3 linked regions of the Rhinolophus ferrumequinum genome follow. The protein of the gene in region 1 interacts with the protein of each later gene in a pairwise test. Links are inferred from orthologs where the notes say so. Each region holds a gene or a part of one and is shown on either strand. Other genes may lie near its edges. The genes, in order: EHD3, MICALL1 and RBSN.

Evidence for each region.
Region 2: the proteins of EHD3 (region 1) and MICALL1 interact in binary tests that used the Homo sapiens proteins (3 or more experiments, as listed by UniProt). The link is inferred for Rhinolophus ferrumequinum from reciprocal best matches to the Homo sapiens genes EHD3 and MICALL1.
Region 3: the proteins of EHD3 (region 1) and RBSN interact in binary tests that used the Homo sapiens proteins (3 or more experiments, as listed by UniProt). The link is inferred for Rhinolophus ferrumequinum from reciprocal best matches to the Homo sapiens genes EHD3 and RBSN.

The regions. Positions count from the first base shown.
Region 1 is NC_046296.1:50,263,704-50,271,371, forward strand, and holds the start of EHD3 (EH domain-containing protein 3), read right to left. Parts: upstream 3,059-7,668; 5' UTR 2,365-3,058; coding exon 2,141-2,364; intron 1-2,140. UniProt on the Homo sapiens protein: ATP- and membrane-binding protein that controls membrane reorganization/tubulation upon ATP hydrolysis. In vitro causes tubulation of endocytic membranes. Binding to phosphatidic acid induces its membrane tubulation activity.
Region 2 is NC_046293.1:9,060,061-9,067,457, forward strand, and holds the start of MICALL1 (MICAL-like protein 1), read right to left. Parts: upstream 3,073-7,397; 5' UTR 3,050-3,072; coding exon 2,904-3,049; intron 1-2,903. UniProt on the Homo sapiens protein: Lipid-binding protein with higher affinity for phosphatidic acid, a lipid enriched in recycling endosome membranes. On endosome membranes, acts as a downstream effector of Rab proteins recruiting cytosolic proteins to regulate membrane tubulation.
Region 3 is NC_046300.1:41,248,731-41,256,623, forward strand, and holds the start of RBSN (rabenosyn-5), read right to left. Parts: upstream 3,022-7,893; 5' UTR 2,833-3,021; intron 733-2,832; 5' UTR 557-732; coding exon 409-556; intron 1-408. UniProt on the Homo sapiens protein: Rab4/Rab5 effector protein acting in early endocytic membrane fusion and membrane trafficking of recycling endosomes. Required for endosome fusion either homotypically or with clathrin coated vesicles.

The sequences.
Region 1 (7,668 bases):
AAATAAAGGAGGTGGATTAGATCAGGGTTCTCACCCTAAGATCCAAGGCGGCCCTCAGGCCCCCAAGATTAGGGATGTATGTGTATTTTTCTAAAGATAGTTCCACAGTTTTCATCAGATTTTCAAAGGCGATATTGTGCTTTTAAAAAGTTAAGAAGCAATGGATTAGATTCATAGCTAAGGGCCCTTGTGTTTCTAATAATATAAGAGATCCAAAAGCCAACACGCCCATACACCTCCTTCCACTCCCCGACCTGGGTACCAAACTTCTTCAGAAATCATTCAGCCTCTCAAAGCTGCTGAGCCCAAGGCTGTCCACCCAACAAGGGCGAACTTGATTTGGCGTTCTGTTCAGACACAAACTGTTAGTGTGGGGCATGCCCTGCTTGTGGGGCTTGTGTTATAAGCTTAGCGTTACAGAAAATTCGTATTTAGAAAATCAGTGACCAGACTGTTAACTTTGCTGCTTTTCTTTCCAAACAAAGCACAGTGCTTTGAATGTTGCAGGTGCTCAGTCAATGAATGGAAACAAGAGCACCCCAGCTTTAAAACTTGCAGAGGATGAGCACTATAGGCTCTGGGGGACCACCAAACCCATCGCTACACTGTAGGAGCCAACTCAACACAAAGGAGGAGCACAGGCACCCTCAACAGCGTGGCCATGGCTGTAAACGAGGCCAAGCAAAATGGCCTCGCCTTGAAGGTTGTGTGGACTGAGGGCTGGAGAGAAGCCTGTGTTCTAAAGATAGAAAGGACTCTCATCACTCGGGTGGACAATATGCGGACTTCTCTGAATGCAGGGTGGACAAGCCGACTTCTTCAGGATCCCTCCAGCCCAAGGATTCTATCATTCAAGGGAATGGATGACTCATCCTCAAAGTTACAGGCATTCAGCCAAGCATCTCCTCCCATGCATCTAAGACCGGCATCCCAGGTTGGCTTCCTACCCAGTTATATGACTATCGATAATACATTTAACCTTTCTACGTCTCAGTTATCTCACCGGTCAAGTCAAGGGGCTGCAGAAGACAACCATCAATATCCCTTCCACTTCTAAAAGACTTTAATACTATTACTGAGCCATTAAGATCAAACAAGGGAAAAGAAAAAAGCATTGTTTCTGGATACTGCTTCAGTCCAGTCTTCAAAAGATATGTGTAGCAGTTTTGCTCAGAGAAGGAAACTGATAAAAAGACAACTGGCACTACCAGGCAGGGGATCACAGGGTCCCCAGCCCACCTCCTCAGCTGCAACTGTAAAGCCCCCATTTGAGTAGCTGAAGCCTTTAAAAGGCAAGGGAAGTGGTCCTGGCCATGAAAGATGTGCCCCTAAAAAGTGCGGGCACTCCCATCATCATAAGGTACTCTTTTTTTTTCTTAATCTTTTTTTAATTTAAAAAAATTTTTTCAATTACCATTGACATACAGTATATTAGTTTCAAGCATACAAAACATCGTACTGATTAGACATTTATACATCTCACAAAGTGATAACCCGGTAAGTCTATTACCCATCTGACACTGTCCATAGTTGTTACAATATTATTGACTATATTTTTTATGCTGTACTTTACATCCCTGTGACTTGTTTTTTAATTATAGTTGACATTCAATATTATTTTTTATTAGTTTCTTAATCTTTTTTTTTTAATTGGGGAATACTGGGGTACACTATGCCACCCCCCCCACCGGACCCATCAGCTCCACGCCAAGCCATCGCCTTTTTTTTTTCAATCTGGTTGTGGGGGGCACAGCTCAGCTCCAAGTCAAGTTGTTGTCTAGTTGTGGATCATAAGGTACTCTTGGACCAGGAATTTTCTCACTTGTGTCTCCTGGGCCTTGGTTTCACTATCCATCAAATGGGAAGAACAGGGATGGCTCCAAAAATTAACACTTCAAACTGACCACCTGAGCCAAGGGCTAAGCAGGCGAGGCACTAGATAGGAGGGGAAGCTGGACAAACAATGAAATCGTGGGATAAGCTTTGGGGATGTACACACACACACACACACACACACACACACACACACACGGATTTCGTCAGAGCCCTCAAGTGAAGACTGTCCCCAGGCAGGAGAGAGTGAACCGAGGGCCTAAGTGCTGGGTGGCAGGTGGGCTGTCTGGGCCCTGGACCAGCTCACCTGATGAAGGTGGTCTTCCCAGTGGAGTACTGGCCCACCAACAGGATCATGGGCTTGTTGTCGAAATCGGCATCTTCCAGGGCAGGCGAATGAAACTCGTGGAAGCGATAATACTCTTCCAGGGGCAGCAGTTTGGTCTTGTAGAGTTTCTTGAGCCCCTCGCTCACTGTGTGGAAGACCTCCGGCTCCTTTCTCCGGTCGTCGGAACCCAGCCAGCTGAACATCGCGGCTGCTGCTCGCCCCTTGAGCGCAGCTCCAACAGGAGGACACGGAGCCCCGCGTCCCGGCGCCCTTGGCTACTCGGGAAGATGCTCCGCAGGGCGGGCCAGCCAGTCTGGAGCAGCGCCGCCGCCTCACCCGAGCGCCAGGCTCAGCTGTACCATGACCAGGGCGCGCGGCTCGTGGGTCCCTGGGGCGACGTCGCGGGGCCGAAAACGTGCTCTTCCCAAGCTCCTGGGACCAAGCCCAGCCCCTTCTTCATCCAGCAACCAAGGCCGGAGGGAGGGAAAATATCTAGGTTGGGCAGGAGGGTTGCGATCTTGGAAATTAAAGTCAAACCTGTAATTAAACTGCTAGATGCCGGCGTTCCCCTCAGACCTCTCCTGCTCTGGCCCGGATCCAGTTAGGGGACGCTTCGGCTCTGCTCCTGTCAAGCCAGGTCGCTCAGAGGAGGCGGCGGCGCTGCCCACTCCGAGGACAGCTCAGCATCCGCAGCCGCAGCCCGCAGCCCCAGCCGCGGGTTTAAATGCCAGCGGTGCAGGAAGCCGGCTCGTGGAGGAAGTCCCCGAGTACTGGCAAGGCCGGCCGGGCCAGCGGGTCCCAGCAAGGAGAAGCTGAACAGGGCGCAGCCATGTTTGTGGGCAGGAGCTCTGCTGGGGATCTGTGGCCGCTGCCTGGGAAGGGAGGGATGCTGAATCCCGTGGGAACGCGCTGGTATTTCAGTCATGGCTTCTGGAGGTTTGATTTGGGAACAGCGCCCTCTCAGGGACAGCTGAGAAGGCTGAGTTGACCTGCTCATCACTCCGCTTTTGAAAGGCCTTTTCTTTAGTTACTGAGTTCAATTCCTTAGGAAGACAGGTACTCTAATAGTTGGTAATATTTGTGGGGGGAGGGGAGGAGAGCGAGCAGGGATGGGAAGAAGAGTCCAATACCAGGTTACAAAACGACCAGAACTGTCACTAAAAACTTTGCTGGGTCTAGGGTAAAATCAAAACCATTCCCATTCATTCATTCATTCATTCATTCCAATAAAACAAAACAAAACAAGGAAATGCCCTGCAAGTATTGAGCCAGTACTACAGGCTCACCAATTTTGGTGGCTGTAGACACAAAGTTGATCACAAAGATGAGCAATTACAGGCTCCCTTCCAGAAGCTCCAGTCCAGGCCGACTTTACAGAGGAGGTATAAGCTGAAAGCCAGGGGTTCACAGGGGAGGAGGCGTTCTTCTTGTCTGGATAATTTGAGGAAGGCTTCACAGAAAGCATGACTGTGAGCTGGATCTTAAATGATGAATCTACAGAGAAAGACATTCCAGAGTCAAGGTCATTTGCAAAGGCACGGGAACATGGAAGAACTTGGTGTGGTGAAGGCCGAATAAACAGTTTTGCTGGCTAGAGTGTAAGGTTCAGGGGTCGGGGAAGGGAGTCTAACGCTAGGCCCTAACGGCTTTGCTTGCCCACATGGGAATCATACCGGGGATAAAGCACCAAGAATAATGTTATTACTAATCACTGTTAACACTAATTAAGTGTTCTCTATGTGCAGGGGCCTGGCCTAAGTTCACAGCGAGCATTGTACCATTTGACCTTCATGGCAGCTCTATAAAGCAGACCAAATTGTCTCCAAAATCATACCAACAAGAATGGAGGTGGGAACAGTTGGCCAGGTGTAGGCAAAAAGGGGTTCATTGTCTGTAGGGAACTTGAGAGCAATAAGAAAACCAAGTCATAGTCAGTCTGCTTTGTCTGAGCACCGTTCTAAACAGTGTCAGTGATAAAAGCTCGTACTTGCCAAGGCAGTTGTCTCCCATACACTCCCTTCCACAGATGAGGAAATAGAGCAGGCTAATGGTCCAGGGGGAACTGCTAATGCTGGTAACAGTTTGGGGGAGCGACTGGAGGAGCAAAAGAAGCTGGAGGCCAAGAGACCAGCTAGGACACTATTCAAAAATTTAGGAGACAGTGGTAATCGGGATGGGGAAAAGGTCGTATTCAATAAAATTTTTATGGCACAGAAATGACAGATTTTAGTAAGCAATAAAAGAAAGAGAATAAGGATAAGGCAGAGTCTAGGATGATTCTGAATATTCTACTGTAGGGGAGAAGGTAGTTGGAGACACTGTTCCATCAATTAGGGGACTCGGGAGAGCAGATTTAGCATTAGAAGATGATGTGTTCAGTCTGAAACGTGTGGCTGAGGTGCCTGTGGTAGCCCCAAGTAGAAGAGTATGCTAAGTGAACCTGTGGGGATTTGGGCAGGAATTATCAGAGGTGGGTGCTGGCTAGAATCTTCCTACTTACAGCTCAGGTCTCCTAACTCCCACCTTGAACTCCAGAGCTGATTGCCTCTTTCTGAGCTCTCTGAATCTCTGGTAGGAACCCCTCATTAATAATTTACCCTCAGTGTTTACATTAGCATTGGCATATGAGCATAAGAGGCAACATTCAAAATATTTAGCAACTCGCAAAGCATGGGAATGGAGCAGTCACAACAGACTTTTACCTTCCCAGTGGAACAGGCCTAGGCCCCAGCTGTGCCGGTTGTAGAGGTACAAGAGAGAATGAAAAGATATTACAATACATAAACCCAATAACAGAGCACCCAAAATATATAATTAATGCCTGTACATTAATAAAAAAAATTCCACTAGAAAAAAATTTGGCAAAAGACACAAAAATTCCTTTTATAAAAGATGCTACATGAATGTGCTGTAAACACAAGAAAAAAAAAACGTTAAACCTCATTAGTAGTGTCTGGAACTTGGAGAGGTCTAGGTCTGTCCAGGGGGAGAGTCCAGGATGATCAGAGTGCCAAGGGAGAAAGAGGGGGCGCCACTGTGGAAATACTTCAATATTTTATTAACCAGTACAGCTATGGTATTTTGTACCACTGACTGTCAGCCCCAAATATCTAATTTATTGAGTGTCTATTGACACATCTAACTCTAGCTGTCAGTCCTGAAGAGTTGGAAATCTATCTTCTTTAAAAAAGAGTTGAGTAATAATGCAGCATTTCTATATATTAGCAATAAAGACAATTTTTTAAAAAGATACCCATTGGCAAAAATCAAGAAACACAGGACTATGCAAGACCTTTATATGGAAAATGATAAAACGTAATGGAAAGACATTATAGAATTCTAAATAAGCGAGAGAGACACACCATGTTTAATTATGGAAAGATTCCATGTCACAAAGATGTAAATTCTTTACAACACAATTGCTAGAGTCAATAATTGATAGAATTTAAATTAAAATCTGAACAAGGTTTTCCATAGAAATTAACAAGGTGATTTTCAAATGTATATAGAACCATAGTCCAAGAATAACTAAGATATTCCAGAAGAAAAAAAAAGAGGAGAAGGAGGAACAGGAGGAGGAGGGAGGGGAAGGAGGAGAAAAAGAAGACAGTGACAACAGCTCGGTGAATGGAACCTGCCCAGGCGGAGATCGTTATTGAGTTGCAGTGGTTACGATAATGTGGTTTTGGCAGAGAGAGGCCGATAGAACAATGACACAGTAAAACAGCCAACAAATATGGAAACCTGAACTTCTTCAACAAGACACCAAAAGCACAAACTGCCAATGAAAAGATTAATACATTTGGCAATAGTCAACTTAAGCACTTGTGGGGACAGAGTCCCAGAGAGCAGTGTCCAGGCTCTCGGACTCACATGGAAGGGTGCTGGCTCGGTTATTAGATGGCCATCAGCTGTAATGAGATGGCTATTCACTGTGGCTGGGCGGCCATCAGCTGTTACCAGTGAGCCATTAGCCACTAATATAACTGCCGTGGCTATGCTGACAAGGGGGTTGGTTGGTTGGCAGAGAAGCGGACAGCAGATTGCAGATCGTGTGGTTCCTGCTTCCTGTGTCTCCAACCCAGCCGCCAGTGAGAATATAGTGGTATGAACCCTCTATCCATGGCTCCGTCGGTGTTCCTTTTTGGCCTCACCATATCCTACGTTCTTGTGCAGGGAGCGGGAGCAGATACCCTGCATGATACTTGGCGCAGTGAGCAGGGTATGGTGCCGGCCAGAATTTTCAAAGGGGTAATGGAGCAGTGTACACGTATGAAAGCTCTGTTTCGGGAGGCCCATGAGGAGTGGCTCTGGGAGCAGGAAACGCAATATTCTTGGGAGAAATGTGACCCCTCAGTGAATTGGTGGTCCTCTCAAACCTCTGGATGGCACGCCACCCTATTGGCCAAAGAAGCATCATCTTCCTTTTGGTGGTCTGCTGCTGCCGTGGGCTCCTAGAGTTATGGACATCTTGTGCCGGGGCCACCACCCACTTGGATACCTGGTGCTGCGAGCAGGATTCCGGCCAGGTAGGAATGATGTCTGACTCTGGACAGGAGGACATGTGGCCCCCACACAGTGTGTGGTGCCCAGTAGCTACTGTTCTCAGGAGTTGGATCCCCGAGGAGGGGTGGGAAGACTTGGACGGTTCTCCAACCAGCATAGCCAAGAGAAAGTGAAGGTCGTTGCAGCCGTGTGGGCTGAGAGGTGCTTGCTGAGGCAGACCAGATGCGGGACTTGTAGTCCCAGGAGGAAACATTTGTTGAGTCCTCGGTGGAGGATATGGATGAGGTCATCCCTCACCCCCAGGTTGGAGAGGACTTGAAGCCCTCGCCCAGCGGAGAGGGCACACATTGTGAGGCCAATGCATAGCCCTGGTGAATGACTATGGATTATGGGGAATTGCCTTCCATCCCTGATTTGATGCACTGCTGGACTGTGCTTGGGAACGTACCACCATGTAGTGGAACTGGAGGATGTTTACGTCCTGTGTCTCGCCACCAGTGAGACTGGTGCAGGAAGACCCTTTGGTGGGGTACAGGCAGATGTTTGCTTCCTGTGTCTCGCCTGGTTGCCATTGAGACTGTGGTGCAGGAAGACCCCTTATTGGGGTGCAGGCGATGTTTACTTCCTGTGTTTTGACTGGCTGGGGTCCAGAATATGTAAGCACCTTGGCTGTGAGCCACTATTATTCCAGCATGGTACCCTGAGAAACCCTGGCTGTGCCCAGAAAGTCTGGCTGTGCCCAGAAAGTAGGTGGACATCGCGGGACACCCCCTGGGACATTACTTGAACTGGACTGAAACTTTTTATCGTGAGCTAGGTTCCTGACACAGGGCCCCTCGCGGAAGATGCTTGTCACGTAGATGGTGAGGCGGGACCCTGGAAGGATGGAGTGTGGGGACAGAGTCTCAGAGACCAGTTTCCAGGCTCTTGGCCTCACGTGGAAAGGTGCTGGCTCAGTTATTAGATGGCCATCAGCTGTAATCAGATGGCCATCCGCTATG
Region 2 (7,397 bases), on another chromosome or scaffold:
AACCCTCAGCCTCCTGGTCTGTGAACGCTGTGAACAGGGTGAGGGGACCCCAGCCTAAGCCCCCGACAAAGGCTTGTTCCCAGACCAAATGAGACAAAGCAACCTGGCCGTTTATTTCCGTCTCCCCAACAGTGTTTCCTCAAGGCTGGGGTCACATTTTGTTCACCCTGTGCCCCTAACACCCTGCATAGTTCTTGGTACTTAGTAGGTGTTCAATACATGTTTTTTGAATGAAGAAATGCTGGAAACAGTGTGAAAACTATACAGGCTCCCGAGATATTACAATTCTTCATCCTTTCCCCCACCCCCATCTCTGTCTCTAATCCACATCTGGGCTTTAGTAACACAGATTTTCTGAGAGTTTTCAAAGGCCTGGGAAGTTCTATTTGGCTCTGGGGGAGATGAAGGGCACAAAAATGAAACCCACATGGTGTCTGCCCTCCACGGAGCTTAAAGACGCCTGGATTGGGGGAAGCGGGCAGTGAACCAGCCCCTTTACCACGCAGCACAGCCACACCCCCAGCAGAGCCGGGGCCCACAGCGCCAGGAGCTTGAACCACTTCAGAAAATGATTCTTGCCCCACCCCTACTCTCGTGGAAAGCCACTCTATCCATCGCTGAGGTCCTCTCTGTGCCATATGGGGCACACGGGCCTCAGTTTTCGTCCTGGGTGGCAGGACAAGAGGGCTGTCTTGGGGGACAACGGGCTGGCAGCCCTGGCGCTGGTGATTCTGGATCTTCTCAGGAGGGGAGCCGCCCTCCATTCCAAACCAACTTGAGCCACATCCCTCCCCTTCTTAAAACCCACATGGCTCCGCACGGCGCCATTCACCCTCCTTAGCCAGCAAGAGGCGGGAAGCACTCTGGCCCAGCTACTGCTCCGGGCCCTCCCTGCCTTGTGCCATGGGCTACCTGTGGCTCTGCTCAGGTGTTCCCTCTGCCCCAACGCCCTGACCTGGCTCCTGACATCTCCTTGAGGACTACGTGACATCTGGGAGGCATTCCCAGCCCAGCCCTCTGACACAGCACTTCCCACGTGGAATTATCATCCCCTGCTTTTACATCTGTGACCCCATAGGCTGTGGGAGACCATGTGGGGTTAGTCTCTTTGTTGGCACAGTGCCAAGCACAGAGCGGTAACTCTGTAAATACTTGTTGAATAAATGAAAGAATAAGACACTCACCACCTCCCCCCTACTGTCTAATTATACTACTTATAATAACGCAGATTAATTGAATGCTCATTACCTCATTGAATCCCCACGGCACTCCTGTGAGGTCAGTCTTATTATCAACCCCACTTTACAGATGAGGAAACTGACGCCTGGAGGGATTTACCCAAGGCCGCCAACCTGGGACATGGAGGGGCTGAATGCAAACCAAAGCAGCCTGAGTTTTGATGCTGGCAGGCTCAGGCCCACCACACAGCTTCGCTTGACACCCAAGTCTCTTCACACACTGGCCATGTCCTCTGCCTCCTGCCTCACCGCCTGTCCCTCCAGCAAAAACAAGCCTCCACTCCAATCCGGGTGCCCTCCTCCGTCCAAGTCCCTAGTGCAGTTGTCCCATGCCGCCCAGCAGGCAGTGCCCACCTACATCTCCACCTCATCTTGTTTACTTCTGTATCCACACCCCCAAAACACTCTCCTCCAGGGCCCAACACCGGGCCCGACCCGTCAGCCACAGACATTGTGCCACACAATACACAGTAACCCAGTGCACGTGCCATCGAATCCTTAAAGCAATCCTTTCCTTTCTTCCCTCCTTCCTCAAAGCCCTCCCAGGTGCCAACCTCGGGGAGAGTAGAGCTGGAAGTGGAACAGACAGAGAGACTCCAGGACCTGCCAGGCTCAGGTCACCCTTGGCGGGGGGTAGGCAAGCCAGGCAAGAACCATGACTCTTGTTCCCAAATTGAACATTCGATAGGAAGCAAAAAGAATGACTGGCACCAGATAAACTTTCACTTAGTGTTTCATAAATGAATGAATGGAATGGATGGATGGATGGATGGAAGAGGTGCCAGGGCCCAAGGCATAGGGAGCTGATAGAAGCCCTAAGTCAACTTCAACTGCTCTGGAGATCTGAATAAATTTTCCCACGAGAACCTCACTGGACAGCTGGGGGCAAGAAGGGGGCATTTCATACCCTGGAGCAGCCCGTGGATGGCTATCAATAGAACACATTGTGAGTCTTCACTTGGCCCTCCTGCCCCACTGAAGATGGCAGGGCCACTGCACACACACCTGATCTGTGTCCTAATTGTGTGTGTGTGTGTGTGTGTGTGTGTGTGTGTGTGTATGTGTGTGTGGGGGTACATCCATTCATCCAACCAGTTAACCTAGGGGCCCCTCCGTGCCAGGCACTGTACTAGTGCCCTCGAGACAAGATCGCATGGGGGAATCAGAGAAGTGAGGTTCACTGCACTCAGAGCCAGGGGGGCTCCCACAGAGGGAACAGGCCTCAACGCCTCACTGAGAGTGGGGTGCTCAGTGTGACTATTTGAGAGGAGTTTAGTGGAGGCCCAGGGTTCCCCCGAGGAAGGTTCGGTGCCCCTTCAAAGAGTCAAGGCCTTGGGGGGCTGTGTCCCTTTGGCGAAAATCACTGCCCTGTGGGTGGGGCCACCCCCCTCCCACCCCTGCCGCGGAGGGACCAGCAGGCGATGGTGGGTTCTGAGTTCCAGTAGGCGGGGTCAGAGAGGCCTGGTGGAGGAGGGGGTGCTCCGGGTTGGGGGTCTCAGTGACCCTCAAGGCGTTCTGGGCCGGTCGGTAGGGTCGGCGTCTCGGTCTCCGGGGGGCGGCGCCAGCCACCGCCCGGGCCCCGCGTCACTGAGGGGGGCGGGGGTCCCCGGCCCAGGCCCCGCCGCCCTGCGCCCCGACCCTCCCGCCCGCCCTCCCGGCACTCACAGCAGGTCCGGCCGGTGCCGGTGCAGGATGGCGCAGAAGGCCAGGCCGTCCCGGAAGGAGCTGCTCAGGTCGCGGACGTCCACGCCGCGGTAGCCCTCGCACTGGCGGCGGCACCAGGCCAGCAACGCACCCCGCGGCCCCGCCATGAGCTTCACGGGGCTCGGCCCGGCTCCGGGTGCCGCCGGGATCAGGCTTCACCCTCTGGCCCGCCACGGGCGGCTCCGGCGCGGCCCTGCTCTGCGCTGCTCCGAGCTCCGGGCGCCGACCGGCTGGCAAAGGGCGGGGAGGAGGCGGGGCCGCGGCCTCGGTGTCCTAGGCTCGGGCTCCGGCGCGGGGTCCCGGCTCGGCTGACTGCTCCCCGCCCGGACGTGCCCGGACCTGCCCGGCCGACCGCCGCCTACTCACTGCCGCCGGCTCCGCTTGCAATGAGCCGGCCGCGGGCGCCTGCGTCCCGCTGGCCTCGGTCCCCGCCCGCCGCCGCCGGGGAGCGGGTAGGGGGCGGCCGCCTGCCGCCCCACCCAGCGATGGCTCCGCCCCTAGACGCAGACCCCCCCCCGCCCCTCCCCCCCACACGCACAGGCCCCGACACCCCACCGCCCCTCTCCTGGGCGATCCCCAGGCTGCCGTTCCCCACGGTGACCTCTCAAAGAACTCTGGGACAGCCCTGAACCCCTACCCACCGCAAACTAGCCCGTTCCCACGATGACTTCCTCCACTCCCCACCTGCACCAGGCTGCCCACCGAGAACTCCTCTTCCTCCCATCCAGAATCCTTCACAGTCTTTGGCGGAGAACCTGCAAATCCCCCACCCACCTCCCCTGGCCTGAAACTTTGTGGAGGCATTCCCCCCACTTCAGGAGGTTCCCCTGCAGACCCCACAGCACCCACAGATGGTCACCAGCTTCCCCCACCCCATCTCATCACTCCAAAGCATCCCTGACCTCCAGGTAATTTGGTCTCCCTCCATAGCCTGCCAGGGAGACTCCATGTTCCCCACACCACCATCAGTCCAGGTGTCCACCCAGGGGTGTATTGAGCCTGACCACCTGTCCTACAGAGTTCTCCTGCCCTGCCCTGTAGGCCCACTCCCCACGGGGGCCCCTCTCCTGCCATGATTAGGGTGCTGGTGGGTTGGGCTCCATGGGGAGGGAAGCAGGCCCCTGTCTGGCAGGGCATCGGGGGTCTGGCCTGGAAACTTCCCAGCATCATTCTCCACTTGCTTCCCCTTAAAGTTTTGGGTAAGCGACCCCTCCCCAGAGGCCTCTCCTCCTCCAGGAAATGCATCAGCCTTCCACAGGGCTGGCTGTCAGCTGCCTTGGCGGTGATGTCACTGACCGGTGCAATAGTTAGCTGGGATAGGTCTCTGGCTCCACCCCCCAAGGGAAGGAGCAGGATCTTAGTCACCTGTCACCCCCAGCCCTGGGGGGGTATGGGAGTCACATTGACATAGGCTCCCATCCTGGCTTTCCCCACTTGCCCAGACGTGTAATCTTGAGCTGCCCTGAACCTCAGTTTCTACATCTTAAAAATGGGGATAATTCCTTCTTTACAAGGTGGCTGAGAGAATTAAGATATAATGTGCCTGATCCATCAGTCGTCCCTCATAAATGCTAACTATTGCTACCCGATGTCCAGTACATTTGTGGTAAAATGGATTGAGAACATTTCGTACCCAGCTTGTCATTTGGGCTGTTTTGAGGACATGATCAAGGAGAGAGGCCGACTTGGAGAATCCCACGTCCTCAAAGGCCCATTGAGTCCCATCCCAGGATGCAATGACCCGGGGAAGGGGATCCCGGCCTTGTGAACCCAAGCCAGCCTAACACCCTGGCTCTGAGGCTGGAAGCCCACCGCCTAGGCCCAGAAGGTAGACTGTCAGGTGACCTAGAAAGGGGCTGCCATGGGCCAGGATGCCTGGCCAGCCCTCTTGGCCTCTCACCAGCCTGCGCTGCCACCTCCCACCTTCCCTGTCCTCTATGGGAAAGGAAGTTTCCAGGCATGCTCGTTAAATCAGGGGCCTGGTCTCAGGACCCTGATACCAGCACCCACCTTGGCCTTCAAAGTCCACCAGGATTCTCATTAAAACCCAGGAGGTATTATACCCGTGTCCCTGTCCTCACCAGCCTAAGGGGCTCCCTTCAGGTCCCTGAAGATGGCTCCAGATCTGACTTGGTCCCCGTTGCCCTAATAATAGCTTACATGGTACAGCCCTCTGGGCCCCTATTAGCCATTTCTGTGTTTTATAAACTCATTTCTGAGTCAGCTCATCATGATAGGAAATAAGGGCCTGTGTGACCACAGGCCAGACAACTCACCCCTGTGAGCCCCAATTTCCTACCCTGTAAAATCTAGATGACAATCTTTGTTTTGCCTGTGTTCCAGGGTTGTGGGTAATCAGGTAAGATAATGGATGGAAAAATGCTGTGCAGACTGTAAATCTAGGTTCAGGTAGGAGGTGGGACTGTGTTTAGGTGAGGTCAGAAGCCACAGACGGCCAGGTGAGTCACTGGTCCAAAACCATGTCATAATTTCAGGATTAGGCTAGAGGGCTTTGGGCCCTTCATTCAGTGCTTTTCTTTATTTTGTTTAACTGTCGATTAAGAAGTGAATGCATTGTCCTTATCAAACATTTAAAAATAAACCTGAAGTTTCTACTTGACTGTCTTCTCTCAATCCCAGTCGCCTCCTAAGTGGCAGCCCCCATTGTCAGCTTGACCTTGTGCAAGCGTTTACATTCACAGATCCAACAAATACTGAGCACCTGCTCCCCATCTGGGGAGATAGGGTGAAGGAGACAGGGTTCCTGCCCTCATGGAACTAACATTCTAGCTGGGAAGATGGGCAAGGAACAAACAAATCAACGAAGATGGTGAGAGGTGCTCAGAAGAAAACAAAGCAAGGTGCTGTGATAGAGACCATGGAACCGACAGGGCGGCCAGGGAAGGCCTCTTCGAGGTGGGGACACTTGAGTTGAATGATACCCATCTCCCAAGAGAGCAAGCTGAATGCAAGCCAGTGAGAGATGTCATTGCAGACAGAGCTTGAATCCTTTCTAATGAATTCCAGGTAATAGCCGCAGGTATACCAGTAGTGGGCAGGATCCTGGTGAGAGACAGACTCCTTGCTACTCTGTCCAGCAAGGAAAAAGGAAGCCCAGGGAACAGCAAGCTTCCAGAGGAAGCCCCTGATTGGTTGGGGTCAGGGTGCCATGCTTTCCGTTTACCATTCTTTCTGCCAACCTGCTTTGTTAGGAGGGCTGCAAAGGCAAGCTGAAACACACAGAACCGCTGGGAGTGAGAGAAATTACCATAGAATGAGCAATGGGATGAACGAGTGAATGAATAACCAGGACCTATGGTTTACGTTTATTTTCACACAGAGATCTCAAGATAAGTTTCAGAAAGGTAAAAGGCATAGGAACCGCCATGGAGGAGACCTGGGGAAATTGTGGGGAAAACGAATTTCATCAGTGCTCTGGGAACCTCTGGCTGTTGATTCCCCCTGACTCTGCACCTTTTCAGAGGCCGGTGGGCTGCTTCTCTCTCCGAGCCAGAGGTCCATGGGTGCGTGTGTGTTTCCGGGGGTGGAAGGCGATACCTGGCTGGCCCCCTTTCACCCACCACCTGCTCTCTATGCCACTGACTTGCTGGAAGACCCTGAACAAGAATGTCACCTGTCTAAGGTTTAATGTCAACATCTGTAAAAGGTGGGGGTTTGCCCACCCTATGATGCAGCAGGGCTGTTTCTAGATTTTGTTCTCCAGAAATACTATCCCAGCGGCCCCCGATGTACATACAAAGATGTTCATTGTTCGTTCACAGCAAAACACTGCGGACTGGGTGATTCAGTTTAAGCACAGCTGGACAACAGAAAAACCCACAGCTGTTAACGCCGGGAAGAAAGGATACCTGCCCAAATGCTGTCAGTGGTAAACCTTGGAGTGAGATTGGGGGTGTGGCAGACTCATTTTTTACAAGTACTTATTTTTTACAAGTACTACATATGAGTGGAATCATAAAGTATTTGTTGCTGATTAATTTTTAAACTCTTGCTCTGGTTACAGTATTAACCAGTCACTTAGGGAAAAAAAGTCATTTTCATTTTCTCATACCCACACACATTGTTTACAGTTTCACATTGCTAGAAGCAAATCAGGCTCTAGTTTGAAAACAAAACCAGCCTCAAATGAGCGAGAGGGAATTTGCCCACACAGCACCAGGGCCACGGGCAGATCACTTCAAGATGAGAAATCTGGGTAAGTCAGGTGGAGCAAGCAGAATTTTATATGAAAAGAATAAAAGATGAGGGAGGGGAACTTTGGAACTGAGCTATCCGTCCAGTCCAGACAGCCTGGAGCCTCAACACCTGCAGTCTTCTAATTCCAGAATTTCGTTTTTCTAAGCTTGCCTGACCACCAGATTCTAGAATTCTCAGTTCCATATGGGTCTGACCATTGTGTTTTTCTACCCAGCTGTGCCTCAGGATTCAGGGTCC
Region 3 (7,893 bases), on another chromosome or scaffold:
CACTTGCATAGCAAAGGAAAAGAATTCCACTCCAAAACCCTCGGAGGCTGGCAATGAGACAATTCAGTCAGCAGAGCACAGTAACTACATTTATTAGGTTCAAAGCCGGGCTCTGCCTCATTGTGTGACTTTAGGCAGGTTATCTAATCTCTGTGTCTGATACCCTCATCAGTAAAATGGGGCTCATCGCAGCATAGCTATTGTGAGGATTAAATGAAGTTAATTCATGGGAAGACTTTGAACAAAGCCTGGCACGTGGTAAGCGCTAGATAAATGTTTGTGGCTATTGTTATCCATTTATGATTGTTAATATCATGTTCCAGAGGCAACATAGAAGCTGATGAAAACCACCCCAGGAGTTCAAGCTCCCACGAACAGAACGGGATAAGCAAACTCCTCGCCTCTTACTTTTAATTTGCCCTTTGACATCATGGTCTTCCCCGGAGTGCTCTTCTTCATAATGGGACTGAAGCTGATAGAAAGACTGTAGGTCCTTCAGGCACAAAGGGCAGAGGAAGCCCTCCCTCACTTCTCCTGGGTCATCCAGAGAGGCCATGACAGTGTCCCTCTCAACCCGCACAAGGCAGGAGCCTCATGCCAACCCTCAGCTGGATTCCTCCGCAAAGGACCAGGGCTCCCGCAGCATTAACTTAACCAGGCAGCACACAGATGATGTGCAAGTGGTATCATGGCCCTGGGCGAGGTTTCCTCACTGGAGTCCGTGGGAGAAGCCTTAAGAAAGGAAAGAAGAAGGGGCGGGGGAAAGCCAATCAGGCAAATTAGCAGCAATTCAGAATTCTCTTTGTTCTTTCCATCATTCAACAAGGATACTTAATGTTTGTTCAGTACATGTTTGAGAACGCAAACTGCTTTCTCAAATCCTTAGACCAAAACATAAAACCATCTAAGATAGAAGAACATCACAGGACAACGGCAGCTCAATAAAGTGGGAAGCACAGATGCTTGAAGATACGAAAGGAAAATTCAACTTCAACAGCAAACACAATACCCAGGCAATTCTCTAACATTCATTCCAAATGATCCAACTTCATAATCTGTAGATCATAGGAGTAATGTCTGAAGTATTTATCAACAAATAGGAGTTTTTCTTGAACTCTCTGTATTTTGATCATTGATTCAATCACATCTATTGAGCTCTTGCACCAATGTCAAAAATACAACAATAAAAAAGAGATAGTGCCTGCCCTAATAAACAAAACAAAAATCCCTACCTCAGTCTAAGGAGGAGCATTAGAAACCTAGTGGTCAAAAAGAAAAATCTATTTTGTGTTTTATACTTGTAAAGCACTTTCTCTCCAATGAACTTACTATATTTTATAAACCAGTAGTGACAGTTGAGCAGGAAGCCAAAAGTTCTCACAGCTTTAAAAATCAAAGGATTTCGTGCTTAAACAATTCAGGGCTTAGTAAGTTACAGTTTCAGTTTTCTTGGGCCATGGCAAAGTCACTTCCAATGTCACCTCAGAAAGACTCCCGGTCATAAGGAGAACCCAGACCACAAAACCACTTCACAAAAGCAGAGAAATTTCTCCCCAAGAGCTTGAGTTCACTAACCACAGTAGAGAGTAAGGGGGACTGTATGACCCTCAGGTTAGACGGACCACTGCGTAGAGGGCCACTGAGGTGGGACGGCCTGGTCCTCAAACCTGAAGGGTGGCAGTGACCCAGAAAATAAACAAAGTCTGTTTCTTTCCTCTAGCTGAGAAACCCAATGACTATATATAAGCAAATCTCACCGCGTTTCCAGATAGTCACTGAAATAGCAGCTCCAGTTCTCTTCCCACCCAGTGGTTCATCTGACACCCTGACTCTGACAGCCCCCTTCTGTTCTGTGAATTCACCCTTAATACCGCAAATCAAACACACACACACCCTTCACATCTCCATCCAACCTCACTTCCTCAAGGAAATGCCTCTGACTTGAGGCCTCCTCCCATCTGACAGCCCCTGCACTTCTACACAGCACTGATCTCAATCTATAATCACAAGTGTATAAAGTAACTGAACACATGAGACTGGAAGCTCGGTGAGGGCAGATTCCATGTCTGTTTTTCCACCACCATATCCCCAAGGTCTGGCACAATGTTTGGCACAAACTACAAGAAACACAATGAATGAACTGTAAGATCAGACAACCAAACACACACCACAAACCAAAGAAATCTACCACAAACCACCAAGCCAAACCCCACAACCATAACGTATGCAAGCCCACACTGTACACCGAGCAAAACATAAAAATAAAACCTACGTATTCTGCACCTATACGTTCAGCCGATGCCGCAGAGACAGCCGCACTCATCACAGCCTCACGACCGCACACAACCCGCCTCCACCTCACTCAACACGATTAGGCACACGTCGCAAAAGTACACACAACGTGAAAGACTCACCCGCGCAGGGCAGACATGACAACTTCACACATCGCACAGACGCCACACCAAACGTTACAAACAACACAAAAACTCAGACCCCAAACGCCTCAACCTCACACAATCAGAGAACCAAACACAACCACCCGGGAGACGACCACCCACCCACCCCTCAGCCGCACAACCACACACAACTGTACACGCCCCGCGACACCACACACCCAAACAGAGCCCACTCAACGCAAGCACACACGAGCGAACAGCAAGACCCGAAAGCCACCTCCTCCACTACGCATGTCACACCCACCCCAACCTCACGGTCCCACACCCGCTCGGCCGCCCGTCTCGGTGCCCGAAGAGAGCAGCGCCCGGCCCCTTAGGCCCAGTCCAACCCTCGGTAACCGGCCAGTCTCCCGCGGGCTCGCAGGCCTTTCCAGACCTTGGCACGGGCTCTGGGCCTCCACGGTTCATCACACCGGCGCGGCCGCCATCTCCATCGGTTACTTGGCGCTCGGCAGGCGCTCCTGTGGCAGCACCGAAACCGGAAGACAGGCTGACAGACGCCCACGGAGCGCCGAGTCTTCCAGCGCGCGAAAGGGGCCGCGACAGATTCCAAAAGCGCTGGGCGACCGGCGGCTTCTGCGCAGGCGCTGTAAGAACCAGCAGGGTGAGCTCAGTAATTTTGCAACGTTTTGACGTCCCAGGTACTTACGTATAATGCGTTAAAGCCAGCCCCTTGCTCTCCACCCCGTGGTACAGGTGGGAAAACAGAAGCTTGTATATGATGTAATTCTTTAGCTTTCGACCAAGGTGTGCAATGAATGAGGCAGCAGGGTTGGGGGTGGGGTCTTTAACGCCTCCTACCCTACCCCCAGCTACAGTTCTAAATTAATTTGAGTCAAAGTTCTTGAGGGCTAGAGATAAAAGGAATATTTTGGAGACTTGGAGGTTGTGGAAAGATCCGGAATAGAACCACATGAGAGTGGAGACTTATAATGAGAGGAAGTATCCATTCAGAGGGTAGACAGCGTGGTCAAATCTGTGGGAAATCTGACATTTTCAAATGTAAATCAAAACTGCAATGAAGGGGTGGAGGAAGGGACATTGGAGGAGGGTGGTCAAAAGTTACAAGATAAATAAGTACTAGGGATGTAATGTGCAATATGATGACTATAGCTAACACTGTTGTATAATATACAGGAAAGTTGTTAACAGTGTAAATACTAAGAGTTCTCACAGAAAAAAAATTTTTTTTTGCTTTATCCTTTTTTCTTTTCTTTTGGTTGTCATCTATATGAAAAGATGGATGTTAGCTGAATCTATTGTGATAATCATTTCACAACATGTAAATCAAACCATGCTGTATGTCTTATACAGTGATGTATGTCAATTGTTTTTCAGTAAAACTGGAAGAAAACACCGCATACAGTATAATTCCCACGTGGACAAAAACCAAACCAAACAACAACCAAAAAACCCACAATGAGGTACCACCTCACACCTGTTAGAATAGCTATTATCAAAAAGACAAAAAATAACAAGTATTGGCGAGGATGTGGAGAAAAGGGAACTCTTGTACACTGTTGGTGGAAATGTAAATTGATGCAGCCACTATCTAAAACCAGTATGGAGGTTCCTCAAAAAAATAAAACGAGAACTAGCAAATGATCCAGCAATTCCACTTCTGGGCATTTAGCCGATGAAAATGAAAACACTAAACTCAAAAAGATGTATGCCCCACCCCACCCCCCGCCCCATGTTCATTGCAGTATTATTTATAATGGCCAAGACATGGAAACAATCTGAGTGTCCATTGATTGATAAACGGATAAAGATGTGATATATATATATATATATATATATATATATATATATATATATGATTCTGCCATTAAAAAGAATGAAAGCTTGCCATTTGCAACAACATGGATGGACCTAAGGACATTGAAGGCATTCATGCTAAGTGAAATAAGTAGACAGAGAGACAAACACTGTATGATCTCACTTATATGAGTATGTGGAATCTTTGGGAAAAAAGAACAGCTCATGGATACAAAGAAAGTATTGGTGGTTGCCAGGGCAGAGGGAGGTTGGGGGGTGGGGGCTGGGGAGTGGCTCCACCTCTAAATTGGAGCACTGATTCTGCAACTAGTGCTGGGCTTGCCTCACCTTCTATTTAAGGATGTGGGGCTTCCAGTGTGGGGAGCATAGAGATTTTGGAAAGCAAGCGCCAGTGGAAGGGCAGTGAGGTAGGGGGTTCAGAGACCTTACTGTGTGACTTTCAACTGTTCCCTTTCCCTCTCCTGGCCTCAGTTTTCCCATCTAAACAGATAAAATGGGTTCTAAAGACTTTCGAGCTCTTTTGTTTTTTTCAATCTGATAGCCCAAAAAATATGTATTTTTTTTAACTTTATAGGGTTGGTAGGAGTAGACAGTGACTCCCCTTTGTGTATTGGCACAGACAAGAGACTTGCCAACCTGTCAGAAGCAAAGCATCAGTCCCAGCTCTACCTACCCACCGCCACCTCCTGCCTTGTTTCCGAGTAACCAAAAGAGTGAAAACACCTTCTTGAATGTATGGAGCCGGATAAGTCCCAGAACTGGCCACACTTATCAGCAGGACTATGTTTGGAGTCAGGTGATGAACCTTTTATTAAACCATCATGATTTTGCCTGTTATTCTATCATTTACAAAAGCCAGTGTCGCATTCACCATTTCATTTACTCAAAAAAGTAGTAATGTGGCCGGCAGCTTGTGAATTAATTCCGGAAATCATGCTGGATCAGCCACTGCTATTCTATTGATATTTTTAAGAATGATGGTGGCAAAGATCTTCCTGTATGCTTTACAGTTTATCAAAAGCACTTTCATTATTTAAATCCTTTGGGCAGCTCTATTATTAATTCTATTTTAATATTAGTAATAATAACTAATATTCACTGAGTGATTTGCATGTGCCAGTCATTGTTCTATGTGCTTTACATGTTTTAACTCATTTAATCCTCATATAACCCTATGTGGTACAAACTAATATTATTCTCATTTTGTAAGTGAGGAATCTGAGGCACAGAGAGATTAGGTAATTTACCCAAGATCACACAGCTGTTAAGTACTGAACCCAGAGTCATCTTGTCTTGAGACTTTCACAACCCCCACTTATCCTTCCTTTGTGAAGGCCTGATCTCTGAGCTTTTCTTCATCTCTCAGCATTTTCCGGGGACCAACCATGTCCCAGGCATAGAGATAGAGGAAGTGAAGAGAATCATGCAAGACAGTCTCAGTCTTCAAGGAGGCCTCAGCTGGCAGGGAACATAATCCAATTAGTTAAAAAAAAAAAAAAAGAAGAAGAAGAACGAGAAGGAGAAAGGAAGAAAAGAAAAGAGAGAGAAAGAGAAGTGTGCACATGTGTGCAGATGTTCTGGCTGATGAAACCCCCTGTGGGAATTCAGGGAAAGTTTCCCAGAGGCAGCAACACATGCGCAGAGCCCTCAAGTAGAGATGATCAAGAAGCGCTTGCCAGGCCTGGGGAACAGCATATGCAAAAGCATGGTCCTGGGGAAGAACATGTGTCCTTTGAGAAACAGAAAAATTCATTCATACCTAGAGTGATACTATGAAGGCACTACATCTTCCCAGCACTACGGCGAGCCCCGTCTAAGGGTCGAGTCTCAGACAAGGGCTCCTTCACCTTTGCCTTCTGGCCTAGAGTTCTGTCTCTGTTTCTGTCTCTCTCTCTCTCTTTCTGACCCCTTATTGTTTAAGTTCATCTCAAGCAGCACAAGATGTCTTGGCATGACATTAAAAAACCTGTGCAGGAGAGGGAAATCATAATGTCAGTAAGCGTATGTTAGGGGAAGGTGTGCGGTACGGCATGTAACTCCCCAAAGATCCAGCTTCCCTCCAGGCTGGCCCAGGCCTCTGACAACTGCTGCTGTGGTCATGAGCAGGTAGGTTGAGGAGACAGAGGTTGGCACACCCCATCTGCTGGCACAGGGAAAACAGAGTAATGACCAAAGGACTGACAGGGTCACAGGAGGGCAGGGCCTGGTTTGGAGAATTGACAAAGGGTGTGCCAGGCTGGGTGGTGACCAGGGGAAGCAGGTGGCAGCTGCTCAGGGTCAGGAAGGAAGCAGAGAACGGACAAAAGAAAAGAGAGAAAGAGAGAAGGAAAGGGAAGAGAGGGAAAGAAATAAGTAGGGAAAGAGGGAGAAAAGGAGAACAAGAAAAAGTTAAGAGGTAGCCAGTCATAACTGTTCTAAGCACAGATTCCAGAGCCAGTCAACTGGGGTTTGTATCCCAGCCCCACAGCTGTGAGGTCCCAGTTCAGTCACTGAAATTCTCTGAGCTTTAGTTTCCTCATCTGTAAAATGGGAGAATAATACCATCTACCTCCTAGGATGGAGCATTCAATCGGTTAATACAGTGCTGGAACAGGGCCTGGCACATAGGAAGGACTATGTGAATGTTTGTTAAAGAAAAAGGAAGGGAGGTGTGATTTAAATGCTTTGGCAGTTGTGTCAAGCTGAGTCAGACACTGTCATTGGAGATGCGAGGATCCTATCTGGTATCATGGAAATATCTTTGAGAGTCATGGCCCTGCCAGATGGGAAGTCAGAATGGAATCAAATAATAACTACTCGCACATTCATTGAATTTTGTGGGGGAGGTTGGTGGGGAGTAGCAGCCTCAACAGACTTGTTAAGTAGAAAATATGGTATTAACATGTGAACTGCAAGGCCACCCAATTTTCAGGTTATCGGCTGGCATCTCCTTTGACAAAACAGGGCCACTGCCAGCCTATTGGGGCCTTTGGTGAATGGGAAAGAGGCCCCTCTTGCTTCCACGGATGGAGCCCTGTGCCAGAACTCAAGCCCTGTGCCTAGTGAGTGGGTCACAAACTGGATTTCTGCTCCCACTCACCCGCTCAACTGTGCTGTGCATACCTCCAAGAGGGTCCCAGGGCGACGGACGAGAGTAAAGGGCTCAGCATGGTCCTCAGGTTGTGAGAAGAAAATCACACTGGTTGTCTGCAGCTTCAGAACTCATTCCTCTGAGCTAAATCTCTGGAGATATGTACGCCCAGTCAGTTGAGAAGTTAACCCCAATTCAAACACAGATTTGAAATAATCTGTGTACATGTGGTATTTTAAGTATTTAATAAGATATTGAAGAGTTTGATGTGTAGAGCATCTAACACCTTAGTCTTGTGACTCCAGTTTAACTCAGAAATTGACTTAGGCCTGTGATTTTTTTCATTCAACAACCTATGTATTGAGCACCTTGCTACGTGGGTGCCTGAGCTAAACCAGGCAGCAGTTCTTGACCTCATGAAGCTGATATTCTAGTGGAGAGACACAGCCACTAAACAATAACTATACCCAAGAAGTATATTTTATAGTACATTAGACAGTCATAAGTGCATCGAAAAAAGAAAAAAACGAGTAAAGGGTATGGGAAGTGCCAGGTCGCAGTATGTAGTAGGGGGGTCACTGAGAAGGC